3 linked regions of the Ovis aries genome follow. The protein of the gene in region 2 purifies or fractionates together with the protein of the main gene of each other region. This does not show direct contact. Links are inferred from orthologs where the notes say so. Each region holds a gene or a part of one and is shown on either strand. Other genes may lie near its edges. The genes, in order: FLNC, OTUD1 and AIFM1.

Region 1 (3,650 bases), on a different chromosome or scaffold from region 2:
GATGCCAGTGGGGACCTGGCGCTCCCTGCTTCATGAACTTCCTATTTTGCTACAGAAGGGTCATTTCTGCTCAGCCAGTAGAAAGAAAATGTGGTGGGACTTATAGAGAGAAGGCCAGAACTTTAGGCCTGGAGAAGGCTATTCTTTGCAAGCCCCTGGGATAGCTTTGAGAAGGGGTTGAGGCCCAGGATGATGTGGTCTGAGGCTGGTGGGATACTGCCCCAGTGCCAGGTGACCCAGGCCTGGCCTGGGCAGGCGGGGGCCACTAAGGGCCCATGAGAAGACTTAGACATCACAGATGAGAACAGTACCCCACGTATAGCTCTCTTTCTGACCCTCGTCTCACGAGATGATCTGTCGTCTCCCCACCTCTTGGAGCCATGTCCCCCTGGGGGAATCCTCCCCCAGCCTGGGGTCAGCTGGGGAGCAAGGGGTGGGAGGAGGGGGCACCGGCCTCCTGGGAAGCATTCCCAGCTGCTGAGCCATTGCCCACGGTTGGCTCGACTGCCAGCAGTGAGCTCAGCTGTTCTGGCCAGTCATGGATTCCAGCCTTTGAGCTGGTCCCCTCCCCGCCAGGGAGCATCACCCTCCTCCTCCAGCTCTGGCTGGGACCCAGCACCCCCTAACCCCTGCACCCTTTCCCAGGAGTGACCCCTGGCTGCCTCAGCAGTCCTCCCATCAGGAGGGCTGGGTTCTGGGCGGCCAAAAAGAACTCGGCCTCTCAAACAAGCTCTTCAGTCCCTTCATTTCCCCGAGGCGGAAGTTAGGAAGCAGAGAGAGCCTTATGCTCTACAGCTGATGTGGGAAGTGCATGGACACCTAGGGCTTCAGGGCAGCTGTGAGGAGACCTTTCAGGAGATGGGTCAAAGGCACTTGTGGGACGGGGACTGCCCACCTCTGAGGCTGCTGGAATGAGGCGGGGGGTCTGTGAGGGGTGCGCTCCCTGGAGTTTGGTGTTCAGGGTGGGTGCTGGGGCCTGGGCAGGCCGGAGGCCGGCTGGCAGGACTGGTGCCAGGCTGCGTCAGCTGGGGCAGAAAGGCTTCATTGTTGGTGATCGGGAGGGCTGCAGTGCGTCTAAACAGCAATGGGCATCCCAGCTAAAGGGCCGTAAGGTTGGGGGTCAGCAGGAACCCAGCTGGTCAGGGGCCTGGGGCCGTATGGGAAGGGAATGTGAACCCACGGCCTGGGAGGGTGTTGGTGGAGCAAGTGCTCTGCGTCCTGGCTGACCGCTGCCCCCTCATCACTGCTTCCCTCCACCATCTCTCTAGGCCTCTGCCCTGACTGGGAGGCCTGGGACCCCAACCAGCCTGTGGAGAACGCCCGGGAGGCCATGCAGCAGGCGGACGACTGGCTTGGGGTGCCCCAGGTAGGCGGAGAGCAAAGGGACTCGGAGAGGGCCAGGGGTGGGGTTGAGTCTGTGAAGCTACCTGGGCAGGATGCTGGGGACAGAGGACACTTTCTGACTCCCTTCCTCCCTGGCAGGTGATTGCTCCCGAGGAGATCGTGGACCCCAACGTGGATGAACATTCGGTCATGACCTACCTGTCCCAGTTCCCCAAGGCCAAACTCAAACCTGGCGCCCCTGTTCGCTCCAAGCAAGTGAACCCCAAGAAGGCCATCGCCTATGGGCCTGGTATGTGTTGAGCCCTGACGGTCTTTCCTGGGCAGCTGGACATGGCCTGGGATGGTTCTCCCTAAACTCCGTGGCTCTGCCTTCCACGCTCAGGGATCGAGCCCCAGGGTAACACCGTGCTGCAGCCTGCCCATTTCACCGTGCAGACAGTGGACGCTGGTATAGGCGAGGTTCTGGTCTACATCGAGGATCCTGAGGGCCACACTGAGGAGGTATGGAGAGGCCACTGGAGACCGGACAAGAGCACAGACCAACAGTGGAATGGGCTGGAGATCGCTGCTGGGGCACTGGAGAAGGGGGAGGCCTCACCATGGGGGTTGCAGAAGGCGTGGGGTCAGGAGGAGCTCTGACGGCCGATCGTTTCCCTTCCTGTAGGCCAAGGTGGTTCCCAACAATGACAAGAACCGCACCTACGCTGTCTCCTACGTGCCCAAGGTCGCCGGCTTGCACAAGGTATCCCTCTATAGGCTCTCCTGTGTCTTCCCTACTCCATTCACATCCTTGCATCTGGCTGAATTGGACCCCTCTCTCAGCTCACACCCCACCCCACCCTCATGCACCAGCCCCACCCGCCTCTCATCCTGCTTGGCTTTGCCCCGCCCCTCAACCCCCCTCTCAGAGCTGCTTTCTTCTAGAAGCTCACCTTTGGCCTCTGACCTCCAGGTGACCGTGCTCTTTGCTGGTCAGAACATCGAACGCAGCCCCTTTGAGGTGAACGTGGGCATGGCCCTGGGAGATGCTAACAAGGTGTCAGCCCGTGGTCCCGGCCTGGAACCCGTGGGCAATGTGGCCAACAAACCCACGTACTTTGACATCTACACTGCAGGTGGGGATTGGCCCTTCCACCAGACACCCCATGACTGTTCATGGTGGGGGACCTGGGGGCCAGGGGCAGGGCCTGGCCAGAGGGCCGTGGTCTCAGGGTGAGGGAGCCTGAGCAGGAGGGACACACCATGACTATTTTTTTGGGTGGGAGGGGGTGCCTGGGGGCCGTGGTCTCAGGGTGAGGGAACCCGAGCAGGAGGGGCTGACAGCCGTTGCCGTGACAGGGGCTGGCACAGGGGATGTTGCCGTGGTGATCGTGGACCCGCAGGGCCGGCGGGACACGGTGGAGGTGGCCCTGGAGGACAAGGGCGACAGCACGTTCCGCTGCACGTACAGGCCCGTGATGGAGGGCCCCCACACGGTGCACGTGGCCTTCGCCGGAGCCCCCATCACCCGCAGTCCTTTCCCCGTCCACGTGGCAGAAGGTAAAGGCCCTTCACCCACCCCCGTGACCCCCCTCGCCAAAGGCCAGGATGCAGAGTGTTGCCACCAAGTCTGAGGACTTACGGGAAATGAAGCACCGCAACCAGGGGGTGGGGTGGGTGGGGATGGGGTCAGGGGGAGCCTTCTGTAGGCTTAAAGTGGGCAGAAAGAAGAGCCCAGGGTGGGGCTCCTGAGAGCTCGTCTGTCCAGCCCCCGCCCCTGAGGACGGTCAGGTCACTGTGAAGGATACCAGACGGGCCACGGTGGAAGGGCCGAGGGGGAAGCGACCGGACCATGTGGGCGGAAGGGCATATTCACTGGAGCACCTTGCACCAGGCTCTCAGGCAGTGACTCCCCACTCTCTCTCCGCCACTCAGAGCCCCTGCCGCCGCCGCCCGCCCCCTCCGTGCCCATCGTCCACCAGGCCAAGAGAGTGGTGCCGCGTTAGTACACGCCAGCGGAGGCGGGCTGGGCATGGCCATAGCTGACTGGCCTCCCCTGTGCTGTGTGGCATGGCCCGAGCTGGGTGCAGTCGCCCCCCCTCCCGTGGCATTCTGTGACAGGCCCCAGGTTCCACGCCTTTGCCTCTGTTCTGTGGCAGCTCTCGTCTCTTGGGACTGGCCTGGTGATTTCTGTGAGAAGGGTCTGGGTTCTGTGGCAGTCCCCGGACACTGGGCCGTTTTGTCTGTGTTCCGGGGCAGGCCTGGATGGATGATACACTGTTGCCTGTCGGGTGGCGCCCCGTGGGCTCCATGCCATTTTATGTGTC
Region 2 (3,750 bases):
ATATCAGACTTTCATTCAAGTAAGAGCTGGTACTATTCTTTAAAAAAAAAAATCTTCCCACAACCTCCCCTTAAGTATTTTCTCTTTAAAAGGTTGACCATTTCTAGAAAAATAATGATTTTCCAAACAACTAATCTGTCATCAAAACGGAATGGGCCAATTATCTGGTAACATGAAAGCATCAATAGCCATTTGAAATAATTATCTAAGAACTCTAAAATTCAAATCCAACAACATAAAATACGAAATCACAAACTCTGCTCAAAATAATAAACTTCATATAAAGCACTTCTCTGGATTTATGCCGGAAAGCTGTTTGTCAAAATGGATCACATCCTAGATGAAGGTACACCAATTGTTAAAAATGTTGTGCAAAAATACGTTTTTATAGAAAATAGATTACCAGGAATGAACAAATTTACACTGAGAAATCAGCTTGCAAATTAAGTAGTGCCAACTTTATACAGCAAATCATAAATAGCAGTAGGATCACCCAAAGCTACTATGAAACATCATTTAGGTGCCCAGCAACCTTCAGCTCTGAGGAGAAAACATTCAAAAAAATGATTAAGGCATTACACCTACAGTAAATCTACTAGAAAGTTTAAAAGTGCAATTACCCTGATTAAAGTTCATATAACTCTCCAAACACAAATTAGGTATGCAATTTTCCCAGGCCGAGGGTCTCAGACACTTCAAGAGCATGCATTTTGCTCAATATACATTTTGGACAGGGATATGGCCATGGACTTCGCAAGTTCTTCATCGCGTTTTCTCTGCACTTGAGTCTGCCTGCACCAAGTGTCATACTCCGGGTTCGGATACGAGTGATCAAACACCGCGTCATAATGTCCGTTACTGAGCCAACTGAGCCAAATGCTAGGCCTTAGGGAATCCTCCGGGCCCAAATAGTGAATCATGGTAGACACCGTGGGGCTCTCCAGCCTCCCTCCAGTAGTCAGATGGATATTCACATTCAGCATCTGCCCCATGGCCAGCAGTTCGGGGTACCCGGCCCAGGCCCCGTCCTGGGCAGCAGCGATGATAAACTCCCCCACGTCGCCCTCAATCAAGGGGCTAAAGTGGTCGAGATGGTCGGCGATATAGTGCACCGTCTGTTCCCGTAGCTCCCGGTGCAGGCTCTGGTCCCCGTACACCGCCTTGCTTACCGCCCGGTAGAGGCAGTTGCCGTCGGGAATGATGTGAAATCGGTACTTGTTCCTCTGCCGCAGGTACTTGTCCTGCCTCTCCACCTCCGCCAGGTACAGGGCCAGCTTCTCGTCCCTAGGATCCGACCTGGACACGATCACCGCCTCGGTCGCGCCGCCCGGGGCCGCCTCGCCGCTCCGGGCCGGGGCCGCCTCGGCCTCCGGGTCGGGTCGCCCCGGCTCTTCGGCGCCGGGAGCGTCGCCGCGGTCGCCAGCTCTGTCCCAGCCGCGGAGGTTCCTCTCTGCCGGGCGCTCCTCGGCCCACGGGCCAGGGCCGGGCTCCGGGCTTCCCGGGGGCGGCGCGGGGCCGCGGTGCTTGGCGGCGGCCAGGGCCTGGCGGTGCTCGCTCAGTCGGAAGTTTCTGTCGGGCCCCTCGCGGGTCGCGTCCAGACCGGCAGGCTCCGGGCCATCGGGCCTCAGCAGCTCCTCCAGAAGCCAGGCCGAGGAGCCCCGCCGCGGCGGGATCGGAGCGCCTGGTGCCGGGGCCAGCAGGAGGCAGCGGCCGCGTGGGGCGGCGGAAGCCGCGGCGCCGGGCTCGGGGCCGCGCAGCAGGAGCCGGTCGGCGCCCAGGGCCCGCACGGTGATCTGCGCTGTGGACGTGTAGTGCGGCGGCAGAGGCGGCTTGCAGGACCCGCCGGGCGGCCCGGCGGCGGCGGCGGCCGAGGCGGGGGCGGCGGCCCCGGACACCATCTCGAAGCAGGAGGAGAAGGCGGGCATCTTGGCGGCGGGAGCGGCGGCGGCTTCGCGGGGCTCGGCGGCCGCGGCCGGCTGGCACTCACCGGTCTCGGGCTCCGGGGCGCCACCGGCGGGTCCCGGGGGCTGCAGAGAGACCTTGAACGAGGCGGCAGTGGCGGCGGCGGGCGGAGCGGCGGTTGCGGCCGTGGGACCCGGGCCCCCGGCTGGGTAGTGGGTGCAGACGCTGCTGTAGAGCTGCATGTCCCTGCCCGCCGCTCGGCCCCTTATAGGCGCGCCGAGCCCTAGTGAGGGGACACACCCTCCGGGCCCGGGGGAGGGGGCCGGCCGAGCGCGGTGACCCAGTGCCCTGAGAATAGAAATGACCGAAGGGCCGCCGGCGCGTCAGGAGCTGCAAATAGCGCCCGGGTCCCCGCCAAATTCCTGCTGCGCCACAGCGCGCGGTGGGGGCGGGGAGGGGACGCGCGCTCGACCCCTGCCGGCGCTAGCGGCCCGCAGACCCGGGACGCGTGCGCCCGCCGTCGCTGCTCCGGCCCGCGGCGGCCGCTGAGGACTCTCAGAGGTAGCCGCCCGCCCTGCTGGAGCGCGTCCCGCCGGCTAGCAGCTCTGCAGGGCGCGCGGACGAGCCAGGAGGCGGGGCCACGGTTGTTTACCTCAGGCAGCGCTGCCGCGTCACGTGCCCTTATTGGAATGTGCGGCTCGTCGCGGCGTCCCATTCAACCGCCGGGGCTCGCCCCACCCCCTCCGTCTCGCCCCGCCCCATTCGGTGACGTCATGGGCGTGGCCCGCAGCGCGGGCGACGGGCGCGCGGGCGGGAGGGCGCGGAGGCCTGTGCAGCCGTGGCCGCTGCCCCACCTCAGTGTTAGTTTCTAGGCGCCGCGCTTTTCTACGCTTTAGCGGTGGATCTTAGAGGGTTCGGGGCAGCTTGGGGCGGCCAAGAGTGCTGAAAGTGCGTTTCAAAACAAGCTTCCGAGTTCTGCGTGGGGACAGCTGCCCTAAAACCTGCATGGCCTCTGCATGGTCATTGCACCACTGCCATCTTTTTCACTCAACCCTGAGATTATATTGTTAACGTAGCAGTGTGACGCCTCCCTTTCTCCCCAGCACCTTGCCGCCCTGCTAAACCGAAACCAACTTTTCTGCTGTCCTAACCCGTATTTGATAAGCAAATACAAGTCTTGGGTGAAATACCAAATGCCTAACCGGGCCTCTTGAAAATAGGTGCAGCTGTTCACCGTAGGTCAGCGGTAAAGAGGGTCGTGATGCATTGCGAGAATGTTGAAATTGAATAGAATCTTGAACATAGTTCTACCCTATTGTGTTAGATGTCCCTGTTTGTAAAGGAAAGCTAAAATGGTCATGATCAACTTGTATACTGACTGTATAGCAGTGGGCAGCTCTTGCTATATTCTCAGCTTTGATCACATGCTAACTGACAGACCCTAAATGTTCAGAGTGAACCTACAAAGCTGTTTCACTGTTTCAGTGATGAGGAAATAGCTTATGTTATGGTATAAGCCTCCCCACTCCACGTATTGTTTTGTGAATCTTAGGTTCCCTGAATGGAAAGACTTAGTCTTGATGGCTATTATAGTTACAAACCCAGCACAGAGGCTGGCACATAGATGGAACTAATTAATATTTATTGAATGAGTTAATTAATGGAAGAGGAGTTCCCAAAACAGTGGAAAAGGCAGAATTACGATCCTGGTCTCCTGACCCCTAGCCAGAGCTTCAATTTGCCGTCGTGCGTGTGACTGACAGGATCCCAGCTGCCTTTGCCCAGGTCACTTGAACCTGTTAGGTAGGTCAACTGGAAGGAAAAACAACCACATAAAAGTCTAACCGT
Region 3 (2,590 bases), on a different chromosome or scaffold from region 2:
ACTCCAAGCTTAGCCCTGAAGCACCAGTCTCCGAACCTCTGTTTCCGTTTGCAGTAAATGTCTTTTCTGTCCTCCCCTCCCACGACCAATTCAGTTCTGGGCTGGGGGGTACACAGGGGAGGTGTCCCAGGTAGAGCAGAGTTGAGTCCACATGTTTATGTGTGTGCTCATTCAATGTTTCGCTGAGCACCTACTATGAGCCCTGTGCCCAGCTCTGGAGAGAGAACCGTGAGAAGACAGGAAAGCCTGAGTTCTGGCTTCCAGGGAGCTGCAGAGCAGCAGGGAGACATGTAAGCAAGGAACAGGCTTGGGAGGATCAGGAAAGTCTTCAGAGACGGCGATTTTCCCCAGAGGAGGGGAGAGGGGTCAAGTTCTGCAGGAAGAGGCCATAGCAGGTCTGTACAGAGTCTGGAGGGCGAGGGAGTTCAGGAAACTGAAAGAAGCTGAGAGTGTGAAGCAGGGAGAAGGAGGCCGAGAAAGATGGTCTATTTGGGAATGGCTCCAACTGGCCTGCTCTCTCATTCGCACAGCTTTCCTCCTTTCACCCACTCACTCCCTTTCAAAGAGAAGAGAATTTAATTTAGAAGAATCAGGTTTTATTTAATGATGTGAACATTAAGAATTTGCCTACATGGTTGAAATATTCACAAAGGACTTGATCATTCATACCCATACATTCAGAGAAAGTCTGCTGAATAAAAAAAAAAAATGCTCCTTTACTCATCTAAGCTGTCCTCAGGGACAGCCAAGGGCCTGCCTGCTACCCATGGTGAGCGCTTCAGTCTTCATGAATGTTGAAGAGCTTGGCTACTTCATTGAGATCTTCATGTTGCTCACCGTCCTTAATAATCTGAGGGACAGAGGAACAAGGAGTCTAACTCACCCTGTGTGTGTGCAGGCCAGGCCAGCCCCCACTCCATACCAGGAGGGAGTTGTGGGAAGGGCTTTCTGCAAAGCCCAAGTGAGGACATGCTAATGCCCAGGCCACCCAACCGTGTCCTGAGTGAAAAAGAAACAATCCTTTTTTTAAAAAAAAAAAAAAAAAAAGAAAGAAAGAAAGAAAGAAACATTTCTGAGCCAAGGTGACATCTTGTTCTGCTCAGGCTCAATCTGACCTGGGAGGACAGTGCATGGCAGGACAGCTGATGAAGTCACAGGAGGGACTTCCGCCCACACCCTTATCTTCCTCTCAGAGCTATGCCAGTACCTACCTTCCGTGCTATTGGCATCCGGTTGAAGATGTTCCACAGCACGATCCCCACCACCACTTTGTCCCTGAGGTAGAAGATGACACCTTTGCCGTAGTCCTCCCCTTGGGTGGGGACCTGGGGGACTGCAGGGTTGCTGGGAGGAACAGGGATGTCCGAGGCCTCAGATTCTGTCTCGCTCTCTGATCGGATACCAGTGCCTGTGGCCAACCCCCCAAACAAACAAGCAAAGTCAAAGTAAAACAAAGTCACTTATTATGCGCTTGGAAATTCTAGAAGGCAAGTATCTTTCAACACCTGCTTCAGGCTGCTTCTAGACGATTTGTTTTTCTATGCTGCCTCAGTAAACACTGGTCTTCTCCAGCTCCTCTCCACTGACAGAGCCAACAAAAGCTCTTCCTTGCCAGCTGCTGGGCACTGGGTCAGTCTGACCCCAAACTTTCTATCTCATTTTAAATTGACTCTACGGATATTTCCTGGTATCTTTTTCAAATTACAGAAGACTTGTTCTTGTCCTCTGAGAAACATCCTAGAGCTACGGTCAGTACAATAGCCACTAGGAACATATAGTTATCCTAATTAAAATTAATTCACAATTGAAGTTTAATTTTCATTAAAATTGAACAAAAAATGTAAAATCCAGTTCCTCATTTGCCAAACCAGTTCATTTGTGAAACCCAACACTCCCCTGGTGGTCTAGTGGTTAGGATTCGCTGCTCTCACCACTGAGGCTCGGGTTTGATTCCCGGTCAGGGAAGCCTTTCTTCTTGAGCTTCCCAGGTGGCGCTAGTGGTAAAGAACCCGCCTGCCAGTGCCAGGGTCATAAGAGATGTGGACTTGATCCCTGGGTTTCGAAGATCCCCTGGAGGAGGGAAATGGCAATCCACTCCAGTATTCTGGCCTGGGAAATTCCTAGGATGTGACTGAAGCAACGTAGCACGTTTGCACTAACCACATTTCAAGTGCTGAAGAGTCATACTGAGTGGCTAATGTTTCAGACAGAAACAGAACACTGCCACTATGGCAGAAAAGTTCTCTTAGCACCACTAGAGACACTCTGGCCAAAGCAGAAGGCACTTCCAAAGGGAAAAACCGTAGTGCAAGTGTTTCCTCCTGGGTGGGGTGGTAGCAGCAGCCTGGGGAGAGGGTACTTTGTCTTCTGAGAACCAGGCTTCAGGTAATACTGCCCAGTGGACAGAGCAGTGACCTGCAGTTTATAAGTCCCTGGGTCCTCCTCCGGGGATCCACTTCCCAGGAGAGGTCCAATTTAAGGAGTAATAACGTAATCCACTTAGATTATACATGAACAAGACCCTTATATCCATATAATATCTTGCTTTCTCCTTCTTAAAGAGCAATTTGTCCTTAAAATGCCTCTAATA

Evidence for each region.
Region 1: the proteins of OTUD1 (region 2) and FLNC purify together in Homo sapiens (affinity purification with mass spectrometry; 3 studies listed by BioGRID and IntAct, with this or other methods). This does not show direct contact. The link is inferred for Ovis aries from reciprocal best matches to the Homo sapiens genes OTUD1 and FLNC.
Region 3: the proteins of OTUD1 (region 2) and AIFM1 purify together in Homo sapiens (affinity purification with mass spectrometry; 3 studies listed by BioGRID, with this or other methods). This does not show direct contact. The link is inferred for Ovis aries from reciprocal best matches to the Homo sapiens genes OTUD1 and AIFM1.

Annotation. Positions count from the first base shown.
Region 1 is NC_056057.1:94,501,506-94,505,155, forward strand, and holds part of FLNC (filamin-C), read left to right. Parts: intron 1-1,268; coding exon 1,269-1,366; intron 1,367-1,482; coding exon 1,483-1,633; intron 1,634-1,726; coding exon 1,727-1,845; intron 1,846-2,008; coding exon 2,009-2,086; intron 2,087-2,296; coding exon 2,297-2,459; intron 2,460-2,682; coding exon 2,683-2,883; intron 2,884-3,258; coding exon 3,259-3,324; intron 3,325-3,650.
Region 2 is NC_056066.1:23,757,105-23,760,854, reverse strand, and holds the start of OTUD1 (OTU domain-containing protein 1), read right to left. Parts: upstream 2,337-3,750; 5' UTR 2,145-2,336; coding exon 696-2,144; 3' UTR 1-695. UniProt on the Homo sapiens protein: Deubiquitinating enzyme that specifically hydrolyzes 'Lys-63'-linked polyubiquitin to monoubiquitin.
Region 3 is NC_056080.1:113,994,182-113,996,771, forward strand, and holds the end of AIFM1 (apoptosis-inducing factor 1, mitochondrial), read right to left. Parts: intron 1,409-2,590; coding exon 1,212-1,408; intron 851-1,211; coding exon 779-850; 3' UTR 580-778; downstream 1-579. UniProt on the Homo sapiens protein: Functions both as NADH oxidoreductase and as regulator of apoptosis.